Saccharomyces cerevisiae S288C: one gene and its partners. Changing the gene in region 2 together with the main gene of any one other region gives a genetic interaction. Each region holds a gene or a part of one and is shown on either strand. Other genes may lie near its edges.

Evidence for each region. Genes that interact genetically often act in the same process or in processes that back each other up.
Region 1: mutations in TMA64 (region 2) and CDC27 together harm fitness more than expected from each alone (negative genetic interaction), as found in Saccharomyces cerevisiae (2 studies listed by BioGRID).
Region 3: mutations in TMA64 (region 2) and TMA20 together harm fitness more than expected from each alone (negative genetic interaction), as found in Saccharomyces cerevisiae (3 studies listed by BioGRID, with this or other methods).

Annotation. Positions count from the first base shown.
Region 1 is NC_001134.8:66,345-71,078, reverse strand, and holds CDC27 (anaphase promoting complex subunit CDC27), read left to right. Parts: upstream 1-1,633; coding exon 1,634-3,910; downstream 3,911-4,734. Other genes in the region: ALG3 (dolichyl-P-Man:Man(5)GlcNAc(2)-PP-dolichol alpha-1,3-mannosyltransferase), read left to right, coding at 1-1,328; BOI1 (Boi1p), read right to left, coding at 4,261-4,734. UniProt on the Saccharomyces cerevisiae protein: Component of the anaphase promoting complex/cyclosome (APC/C), a cell cycle-regulated E3 ubiquitin-protein ligase complex that controls progression through mitosis and the G1 phase of the cell cycle.
Region 2 is NC_001136.10:683,446-687,632, reverse strand, and holds TMA64 (Tma64p), read left to right. Parts: upstream 1-1,989; coding exon 1,990-3,687; downstream 3,688-4,187. Other genes in the region: APC4 (anaphase promoting complex subunit 4), read right to left, coding at 1-1,751; mitochondrial 54S ribosomal protein uL1m MRPL1, read left to right, coding at 4,052-4,187.
Region 3 is NC_001137.3:165,413-168,399, reverse strand, and holds TMA20 (translation machinery-associated protein 20), read left to right. Parts: upstream 1-1,514; coding exon 1,515-1,525; intron 1,526-1,628; coding exon 1,629-2,163; downstream 2,164-2,987. Other genes in the region: GTP-Rho binding exocyst subunit SEC3, read left to right, coding at 1-592; PAC2 (Pac2p), read right to left, coding at 2,317-2,987. UniProt on the Saccharomyces cerevisiae protein: Involved in translation.

The DNA.
Region 1 (4,734 bases), on a different chromosome or scaffold from region 2:
AATTTGTCAGACCTCCGCTGGATCTGTGGCAGGATCTCAAGGACGGTGTGCGCTACGTGATCTTCGATTGTAGGGCCAATCTTATCGTTATGCCCCTTTTGATTTTGTTCGAAAGCATGCTGTGCAAGATTATCATTAAGAAGGTAGCTTACACAGAGATCGATTACAAGGCGTACATGGAGCAGATCGAGATGATTCAGCTCGATGGCATGCTGGACTACTCTCAGGTGAGTGGTGGAACGGGCCCGCTGGTGTATCCAGCAGGCCACGTCTTGATCTACAAGATGATGTACTGGCTAACAGAGGGAATGGACCACGTTGAGCGCGGGCAAGTGTTTTTCAGATACTTGTATCTCCTTACACTGGCGTTACAAATGGCGTGTTACTACCTTTTACATCTACCACCGTGGTGTGTGGTCTTGGCGTGCCTCTCTAAAAGATTGCACTCTATTTACGTGCTACGGTTATTCAATGATTGCTTCACTACTTTGTTTATGGTCGTCACGGTTTTGGGGGCTATCGTGGCCAGCAGGTGCCATCAGCGCCCCAAATTAAAGAAGTCCCTTGCGCTGGTGATCTCCGCAACATACAGTATGGCTGTGAGCATTAAGATGAATGCGCTGTTGTATTTCCCTGCAATGATGATTTCTCTATTCATCCTTAATGACGCGAACGTAATCCTTACTTTGTTGGATCTCGTTGCGATGATTGCATGGCAAGTCGCAGTTGCAGTGCCCTTCCTGCGCAGCTTTCCGCAACAGTACCTGCATTGCGCTTTTAATTTCGGCAGGAAGTTTATGTACCAATGGAGTATCAATTGGCAAATGATGGATGAAGAGGCTTTCAATGATAAGAGGTTCCACTTGGCCCTTTTAATCAGCCACCTGATAGCGCTCACCACACTGTTCGTCACAAGATACCCTCGCATCCTGCCCGATTTATGGTCTTCCCTGTGCCATCCGCTGAGGAAAAATGCAGTGCTCAATGCCAATCCCGCCAAGACTATTCCATTCGTTCTAATCGCATCCAACTTCATCGGCGTCCTATTTTCAAGGTCCCTCCACTACCAGTTTCTATCCTGGTATCACTGGACTTTGCCTATACTGATCTTTTGGTCGGGAATGCCCTTCTTCGTTGGTCCCATTTGGTACGTCTTGCACGAGTGGTGCTGGAATTCCTATCCACCAAACTCACAAGCAAGCACGCTATTGTTGGCATTGAATACTGTTCTGTTGCTTCTATTGGCCTTGACGCAGCTATCTGGTTCGGTCGCCCTCGCCAAAAGCCATCTTCGTACCACCAGCTCTATGGAAAAAAAGCTCAACTGAAACAGATGTATAAATATCATATAATCGTATTGTTTTAAATCATTTCTTTATACCATCTATATAGTACTACTAGTATTTAATGGTGCCGTTATTACCCGCGCTTGATTTTCCTTTTTTTTTTTGATCAAAAGGATGGAACAGGCTGAAAGTAAACCAAAAGGATCAAAGTGCAAGCAAAGGTGCCACAGAAAAGTTTATCAAAAAACCATACCTAGCTGTGAGAGTTTTAGACTCTGTTTTGGTGACTGCATATCTATTCATAAATCGACACGAACTTTTCGTGCAGGATACATAATAAAAATAGCATGGCGGTAAATCCTGAGTTAGCACCGTTCACCCTCTCGAGAGGAATCCCCAGCTTTGATGATCAAGCTTTGAGCACCATCATACAGCTTCAGGACTGCATTCAGCAGGCTATTCAGCAGTTGAACTACAGTACCGCAGAGTTTTTGGCCGAACTGCTCTATGCTGAATGCTCCATTCTCGATAAATCAAGTGTTTACTGGTCCGATGCGGTATATTTATATGCACTTTCGCTGTTTCTGAATAAAAGCTACCACACTGCGTTCCAGATATCCAAAGAATTCAAGGAGTATCATCTTGGTATCGCTTACATATTCGGGCGTTGTGCTTTACAGCTTTCGCAGGGAGTTAACGAAGCTATCCTCACTCTTCTCTCAATAATAAATGTATTTTCTTCGAACAGCAGTAATACGCGCATAAATATGGTGTTGAATTCTAATCTCGTCCATATTCCCGATTTGGCCACTTTGAATTGCCTGTTAGGCAATCTTTATATGAAACTGGACCATTCTAAGGAGGGAGCATTTTATCATTCTGAAGCATTAGCCATTAATCCTTACCTTTGGGAATCTTACGAAGCGATTTGTAAAATGAGAGCTACCGTGGATCTCAAGAGGGTTTTTTTCGACATTGCAGGGAAAAAAAGTAATAGTCATAATAATAATGCAGCTTCATCGTTTCCGTCTACATCACTATCGCATTTCGAACCTCGTTCACAACCTAGCTTATATTCAAAAACAAACAAAAACGGCAATAATAATATCAATAATAATGTTAATACACTGTTTCAGTCGTCTAATTCTCCCCCTTCTACATCGGCATCTTCTTTTTCTTCCATTCAGCATTTCTCAAGGTCACAGCAGCAACAAGCGAACACATCAATAAGGACCTGCCAGAACAAAAATACTCAAACTCCTAAAAACCCTGCAATCAACAGTAAGACGTCTTCTGCGCTACCAAATAACATTTCCATGAACTTAGTGTCTCCATCCTCCAAACAGCCTACAATAAGCTCGTTGGCCAAAGTTTATAACAGAAACAAACTTTTAACGACTCCTCCATCGAAACTGTTAAATAACGATAGGAACCACCAAAATAACAATAATAATAATAATAATAATAATAATAATAATAATAATAATAATAATAATAATAATAATAATAACATTATAAATAAAACAACTTTCAAAACTCCAAGAAACCTATATTCCTCAACAGGAAGGTTAACAACTTCCAAGAAAAATCCAAGGTCTTTAATAATCAGTAACTCAATACTAACGAGTGATTATTCAATTACGCTGCCTGAAATCATGTATAATTTCGCTTTAATATTAAGGTCGTCATCACAATACAATTCGTTCAAGGCAATAAGACTGTTCGAGTCTCAAATCCCATCTCATATTAAAGACACAATGCCATGGTGTCTAGTGCAATTAGGAAAACTTCATTTTGAGATCATTAATTATGATATGTCCTTAAAGTATTTCAATAGATTGAAAGACCTACAACCGGCAAGGGTAAAAGATATGGAAATTTTTTCTACTTTGCTGTGGCATTTGCATGACAAGGTTAAATCTTCAAATTTGGCAAATGGGCTAATGGATACAATGCCTAATAAGCCCGAAACATGGTGTTGTATAGGTAATTTGCTATCATTGCAAAAGGATCATGATGCCGCAATAAAAGCCTTCGAAAAAGCTACTCAGTTAGACCCAAATTTTGCATACGCGTATACTTTGCAAGGTCATGAACATTCTTCCAACGATTCTTCGGATTCTGCCAAGACATGCTATAGAAAGGCGCTAGCTTGTGATCCTCAGCATTACAATGCATATTACGGATTGGGTACGAGCGCTATGAAATTAGGTCAATATGAAGAAGCGTTGTTATATTTTGAAAAGGCAAGGTCAATTAATCCCGTCAATGTTGTGTTAATCTGTTGTTGCGGTGGTTCTTTAGAAAAGCTGGGCTATAAGGAAAAGGCTCTACAATATTATGAACTAGCATGTCATTTGCAACCGACTTCCTCGCTATCCAAATATAAGATGGGCCAGTTGCTCTATTCCATGACAAGATATAATGTTGCTTTGCAAACTTTTGAAGAATTGGTGAAACTCGTTCCTGATGATGCCACAGCCCATTATTTGCTGGGTCAAACATATAGAATAGTTGGGAGGAAAAAAGATGCAATCAAGGAGCTAACTGTTGCTATGAATTTGGATCCAAAGGGTAACCAAGTTATCATCGATGAATTACAAAAATGTCATATGCAAGAATAAACGCAGGTTGGCCAAAACATAACAAATTGAAACATGTTAAATGTTTTCATAATTCTTTTTGTTCTTCGTTGTTTCATATTTATTTTTAAGTTAATGTAATAGTAATAGTTAATAATAATAACGTTAATGGTAACAATAATAATAATATATATATCCAGTAATTTGAAAGAAGAGGACATCATGTCTGCGGTTCCTGCGATGTACTTCTTGATAGTATCAGTGTCTAATTTGATTGTATTAATTCGTAAACTTTTTATTTTTATATACTTTATATCACTATATTATGTTCTATTAAATATTAATTATTAAGGTGTTTAAGTTGGTCAAGAAGTAACTAATGATTGCAGTTCTCAAAGTCTGCCACCAGGGTATTCAAATGCTGAACTTTCCAGGTAATCGCTGGTCTCAAATTGATCTTGTTCGATTGGATAATTAGAATTTCTTTTATTTTGGGTGTCATCCCATCCAAATTGATCTCTTCCCTCTTCCTCTTCAGCATCTCTTAACTGGGTTTGTAACCTAGCTTCTTCCAATAGCGTCTGTGCCTTGCTTAGAGGTATCGTTGGTGTGGCATATGAACTAATGACAGGGACGCTTGTATCAATATCAATAGTGGCCTTTATTATGGCTGACAGCCATGCCTTCATTTCAGATTTATTCTCAACTGCAAAATAGTGAACGCGAGGTTCTGTAAAGGTTAGCCCCTTTTTGGACCCCGGTTGCGGAGGGACCAATTTGAAACAGTATTTTCCTTTTCCTAAGCTCGCAGCGTATAAGGAAATGAGCCTATCATCATCACTGGCAGGTAAGACCCTATGTGCCGT
Region 2 (4,187 bases):
CCAATATCCCGAAGCAAGCTATGGACCCTATTCGGCACAAACCTTGTACTGCTCAACCTATAGCTCTTGAATAGCGCCGGAATCTTGACTGACGATTCCTTTGATATAATGCCTAAATTCTCATCTTTCAGAGTACCTATATATAGTTTCTTTTTGTTTTCTTCTGAGAAAGGTTCTTGAGCACTGTTGTGTTTTGTTACCTGAATAAGGTAGACTATGTAATTATGCTTTGGTAATTTTATGGCATCAAGCAAATTTATTTGCGAAGATGGATATTTTTGCGCAAAAACATCCGTTTTTAAATCAACCAGAATATGCTGTTGAATATGAGAATTAACATTACTTTGTGCAATATCTTTTTCCATATCAGACATGCTGTTAATTAGGTCTCTATAAAGTTTCACGTCGATTATTGAGCTAGGTTCCGTACCTTTTTTAGATAAGATTCTGTCAAAGTAACTTAGTAAATCGTATCCAAAGTAAAGATCATCCTCAAATTGAAATTTCAGTTTATAATCTTCATCTAGCGCTTCATGAAGTCTGTCGTTGAACCATATGAAAAACTTCTCAAAAAGTGTTTCGTCCCTCCCCAAGCCTATTATTGAATTTAATGTCATAGTTAACAATTTCTGTGAACTTTTTAGGAGCACTTCAACAGCTGTCAAATCTGACGTATAACTGAGCTTATTCTGTATAGAAAAGGCTTGTAATATTGCCCTTAACTTCTCCACATAAATAATGATTCTTTCACATGCGGGTACAAATATTAAAGTTAAAATCTGAACAGTTTTTTGGTAAGCTTCACAACCTAAATACTTCCACCTTTTAAAGTTCTTCTCACCTACTGAATTGCAAAGCCAGTCTTCCAAGTCACATGAGATCTCTCCAAGTAAAAAGAGGGCTTCTAATTCCGATTTGAGTTTGCCATATCCGTAGGCTTCATCACACAATCTTTTGACGAAATCTAAATAAGGTGTTGCCAGTTCCCGGTTAATGAACTCGAGATGAGTAAGCATATAACCTATAAGCTCTTTTATTACCATTATATAATTCAGCAGGTTCACTGATGATTTGCTCTGTAATAAAGGTCCTAAATTTAAAGTTTGTACAGTTCCATCCTCATAGAAGCACTGGTAAAAGCCATCTTGAACTTTGATAATTGATTTTAAAGAATTTTCGTTTTCAATATTATCCACCGACAAGAAAACAGCGTAATCACCATTAAAAAAAACTGTAATTTTATCATTTCCCTCATTGAATACTACGTGAACGTCTAGTTTTTCATTACTATCTAGATCATCCTCATCAGGACCTCTCCACAAGCTATTCGGTTGAGTGTAAGGGACAATGTTTATCCTTTTGGAGTCCTTTACAAACCTTATTAGCTTTGGTAAATCATCAATGATGTTACATGCAAAATCTCGATTATTTGGTTCGTATCTTAATGGAATTCGGTCCCATATACCTTTTGATATTTTTGTACTCGGAATTCTTAGGAATGAAACTAATCGACCGTCTTTAAAAATGTCATGGATTCTGATCGTCCCATCCTTAAAAAAGATGGACAAAAATTTACCAGTAGTTGTATCCCAATCGTAATTCGCCACCAAGTTTATATTTCTTATTGGAATTACTGCAAGCCTAGCGTGATCCGAGACTCTGTAAATAGCAAGGCCTTTCGCAATTCTTGTAGCAAAGATTGGAAAAAGAGGGTTATAATCAATGAAATAATCATTAATAGGAGACGACATTTCGTCTTGAGTCGTTTACGCGTGTTCAACAGAACCCTAGGTCACGTCTTCTGATAAATCGAATTGAACGCATTCTGTGCTCCATTTTGTTATGCTTGGTTAAACTTAGGCGCTAGCTACGGAAAACAAAAATGTAAACCTAAAAAACCGTGAAATAACACATATGCGTCAAAATTAACACATGAGTCTACTGAATAACCGACTCAATAGATTAGTGTAGCGCAGGATTAGTACAGCTATGTTTAAGAAGGAGCCTCACATAAAAGCTTTAAGTAATTTGAAGAATTCCGAAAGAAAGAAGTTGCTACAAACATTCCAAAAACAAACGAATAATGAGGAATATAGCTTTCGTACTTCCACTATAAAACAAACCAACTTTAACGGCCAGAAAAGTGTAGGAACGGTTTACACAGATGAGAATAATACCCCAATATTATTCAAGGAAAAGCATAAGGAGCAACTTTTTCCAACTGTGTATTCTTGTTGGGAATATCCTGCGTTATTGCCGATCGTTTTAACTCATGGATTTGTTATAGAAGAACATTTATTCAACGGCGCTAACTTAATGATTTCCGGTTCGATCCCACCCTTTGATCCTCGTTGTAAAATAGGTACTCTTTGTGGTATAGCTAGCAAACAGGCACCAGAAACTGTCTTAGCCATCGGTATTGTCGAATTAGATCTACCGTCCTTTGATAAAGTAATTGGTGAAACAGGAGTTGCTGTCAAAATCATACATCATTTCAATGATGGGCTCTCCAAAGTCTTTAAAATGAAATTGGAACCTCCATTTGTTCTCAGTACTCAATCAAAGGATAACAATATCAGTAGTAAACAGATAGAATCCTCGGAGCAAATCAAGGCTGTTGAAAAGGAACAAGAAGATGTAAAAGAAGCGTCTGTTGATGTAGAGGAGATTGCTGAAGTTCTAGACCATTTCACTGTGTCGGATGTAGATTATTTCATTACAAGAGCATTATATTATACCTTGACTCAAGATAAAGGTTTGGAATTACCCATTTCAGCTTCTAACTTCATCTCAAACCACATTATGCGTAATTTGCCTCCAATTGATCACAATGAAGTCAATGTAAAGAAAACTTCATGGAAAAAAAGCGCAAAATTTTTGAAACACTTCGAGAAAGAAGGCTTCTTGAAATTAAAAGGAAAGGGGGATGACTTAACTATTGTGGGCAAAAATACTGACAAGGATGAGTTAAAGAACTTTGTGCCATATAAGCTTGGTTGTAGCAAGTCTGCCACAGAAAGTAGGGAGAGCACAACCTCGAAGGAGAAAACATCTGGAATGATGTATTCACTGACTCTGTATAAACCCTTTAATCTTGCCAAAGATCTTTTGAAGGAGGTTAATTTGGCTTCTCACACGTACTACACCTCTCAGGACATTAGAAGCGCGGTTTCTCAGTATATTTCTGTCAAGAACCTAGCAGACACAAAAGATAAAGGAAAAGTTATTATGGACGATCTATTATTCGATATGGTCAATAAGAAGAAGAAAGTCTTGAATGCTTCACGTATCATTGCTAGAGGTGAAATTTTGCATCCCTTACTCACCAATAATTTTACCGAGTTCTATCAGATATTCAAAAGCGATGATACTCTCTTGTTCAAGGCGCCAATGAAGGGTTCCCTTCCGCATATTAAGATTATTACTGAAATGAAAATTGGCAGAAAAGTTATTACCAGAGTGAGCAATTTTGAAGTGTTTCAAGTCGACCCAGAATCACTTGCGGCTGACTTAAGAAAGATTTGTAGCGGATCGACAACAATAAGTGAATCACAAACATTCAAATGTGCTGAAGTGCAGGTTCAAGGTCCACACGGTCAATCGATCATTGATCACCTTAACAAGCTAGGTATTCCAAGCAAATGGATAGACTTTGAGAACAAGTTGAAGAAGAAAAAAAGAAAGTAGATTTATATCATATAAATGTTTAAATGCGTAAAAATGCCCGACATCAAAGCATATAGAACTTTTTTACCTAATCGAAGCTTTTCTAAAGTAGGTATTATGGTAGTCTTGAAACCCACAAAAAATATGAATGTATCATGGGAGGGAACGAAATGTTTTCAACAGCGGTAAAAATATACTATATTTGTATATCCAGTTCATCTTTACTATTCTCTATTTTTTAGTGTAACTTACATTATGAGACTAGCGACAAAATCTCCTTTTTAAGCGAAAAGAGAAAACTTTCGAAAAACCAAAGTATTTTGAAAAACGACCTGAAATAAAGGGAATTTGAAGAAAACTAAACAGTGATAAGTCATCAAAGAAGATGCTATCCGTAGTAGCGATCCCGAAAATATGTGTCACAGGTCCTGCAAGAAGATGCTTTTTTCATACTGCAAAAAAACTATACGCAGATGACTATAAACCAGCAGCTATGTCCTCCAATGCACCTTCGCTAACAA
Region 3 (2,987 bases), on a different chromosome or scaffold from region 2:
TTCAAGCATTAATCCAAACCTTTCAGATACTGCTGCTTTAAATAATGACTATATGGAAACTATTTCTCTCCTAGTGAACAGTAACTGGCTAACTGAAATGCTTTCCATGTTAAACTTCAATAAGGATGGTATATTTGATACGTCATTGCAAAACGTTAAGAAAGTTTTCGATGTGGAAAAAGAATCTTATGCTTCCTTTCTACTCCGCGATACTATGCCTAAACTAACAGCCTTTGTTTATGGTGTGAGCAACATCATTGAAAATACCAACAATGTGAACATGACCAATCCTTCAAGATGGGCCGCATATAGCAGGCAGAACCTAGAGAACATTCTTTTAGCATACACTTCCCATGAAATTGAAACTCTAGTAAAAAGGCTGCACACTCATATGGTAAATGACTTCGGTTACCACCAAGAAAATGCCATAAACAACGTCCTATGCGATAAGTTGTGGTCGTGCATTCAAGGTCAAACCGTCTCACTATACTTGAAACTATACACTGTAATTGATAAACACTATAGAGGGACAAACATACGCTTCACGAAGAACGATATCATAAGTGCGTTCGAGGAATACAAGAATGCCTAAGTAACCTCTGCATTGTCGCTTCATATTACATATTTAGACTAATTAAGTAAATATTTTGATAAATTTCAATTTCAAATATCGTGTAAAATGATATATTAGTTTTCGAATTTTTTTTTCTGAATATAAAAGGAACAGAATATTAGTTAGCTTCATTGTCCAATTACTATTGTTACTTACGTTTAATGCATTTTCTTTTCTTTCACTTCCTTCCTTAATACTCCATCCTTATGCACGGGAAATACGCATATCAGTGAGGATTCGTCCGAGATTGTGTTTTTGCTGGTTGAAATTTAATTATAAACCAGACCGTCTCCTCATGGTCAATTCGGTGTTCGCTTTTGAATACTTCAAGACTATGTAGGGAATTTTTGGAATACCTTTTTTCATTACCGATATTCATTCTTTCAAAGGGACTGTTTATTTTTCTTTGGAAGTAATATCAAAAAATAGGTTAGGGATACCGGACTGAAACATTCAATTGAGGGCCCAACCATATTTTTCTTTTCTTTTTCACCGAATTCTCTAATGTGAGTTCACGTTATAGAAGCTGGAATTGTAAGTAATACAGAAATGGCAACTAAAATGGTAGGCATGAGTGTTCTCCTTCTTGTGTGTCTTTCTTTTCACCCGATACAGTAAACTTTGTATAGGAGAGTTGACCAATTACCTGACAGTGCCGTCTATAAACGAGACCTCAACTTCACCTCAAAAACCATAATTTTATCTATTGATAATTATCATTATGGTCATTTTCCACTAAATTCATAGTTACCTTACTCTTATGCTTTGTATTTGTAGGTGTAAAAATGACGAAAAATTTAATTATCTGAAAAATTATTGTGTGAAAAAACTTGATTTTGCTATAACCTTATGTAAAACCATATAAAAGACAAAGACGGTAAACTAAAACAGCAGAGAGGAAATGTTTAAGAAGTATGTCTAACATGAGAATGAATATTGCGTAATTCACTGGTTTTACCAGGGGTTAGTGTACACTTTTGACTCAGTAAGCAATTACTAACATCATCATCGATAGATTCACAAGAGAAGATGTCCATTCACGTTCAAAGGTCAAATCTTCAATTCAAAGAACGTTAAAGGCCAAATTGGTCAAGCAGTACCCCAAAATAGAAGATGTTATTGATGAATTAATTCCTAAGAAGAGTCAAATCGAGTTGATTAAATGTGAAGATAAGATCCAATTGTATTCCGTCGATGGTGAAGTTCTTTTTTTTCAAAAATTCGATGAACTGATTCCAAGCCTGAAATTAGTACACAAATTTCCAGAGGCTTATCCCACTGTTCAGGTTGATAGAGGTGCTATTAAATTCGTTCTCTCAGGTGCTAATATCATGTGCCCTGGCCTAACTTCTGCGGGTGCCGACTTACCACCTGCTCCTGGTTACGAGAAAGGTACGATTGTAGTCATCAATGCCGAAAATAAAGAGAATGCATTGGCTATTGGTGAATTGATGATGGGTACTGAAGAAATTAAATCAGTGAACAAAGGTCATTCCATAGAATTGATTCACCATTTGGGCGACCCCTTATGGAACTTCAGCGTTGAGTAACAAACGGAGCCGTCAACACTATATTACTATCCATCTGCTACATAATAAAATAAAGAAACTAAGAAAAAATTAGAATAACATCCGCTTACAATCTAAAAGGCTGTTTCCTGATTTTTAAATATGCAACTAGCCAAGATTAACTATATACTGTGATTACGATGGGCTGTTAACCTTCTGAATGCTCTTGTTATTTACTGGAGACGAAACATGAATAATATCTCCGTTCACAACATTAAAATCTGAAATGGGGCGAAAATTATACTTTATTTCGTTTATCATCCCTTCAGAATTTTCATGAAATAACTTAACATTCAGTATGTCAAAGTTTAGCTTTCGACATATTACACTCTTAACGTACCTTACTGTAAAACTGGGAAGGACCCAATAATCTAAATCACTACTCGGCTTCTTGCCAGCTCTTATCTTTATTTTTAAGACAAGAGATTGCCGTGTTTCTCTTTCATTGTTGAAACTTAGCTTACTCATATCGATTTCATACGACTTTATGAGGCTTGACCAACGCGGCAGATTGGTGTCATAGCTCAATTCGTTATTCATTACCTTGGAAACAAAAAACATCTCAGCCTCTCTTCTTGTTTTTACATCACATATTGATCCATTCAATACCATCACACGATCAAACCTAGCCAGTACTTCATAAAAAGTAGCCTGTTCTTCGACGTTAATATAATTTCCGTTGTAGTTGAATTCGTTGCCACTCAGATGGATATTTTTCAAAGAGGGAAATGTCTTATTCAAATCATCTATCAAACTTCTTTCCTTAAATTTGTTATCTGTTATATCCAAGGATTCAACAGAATAAA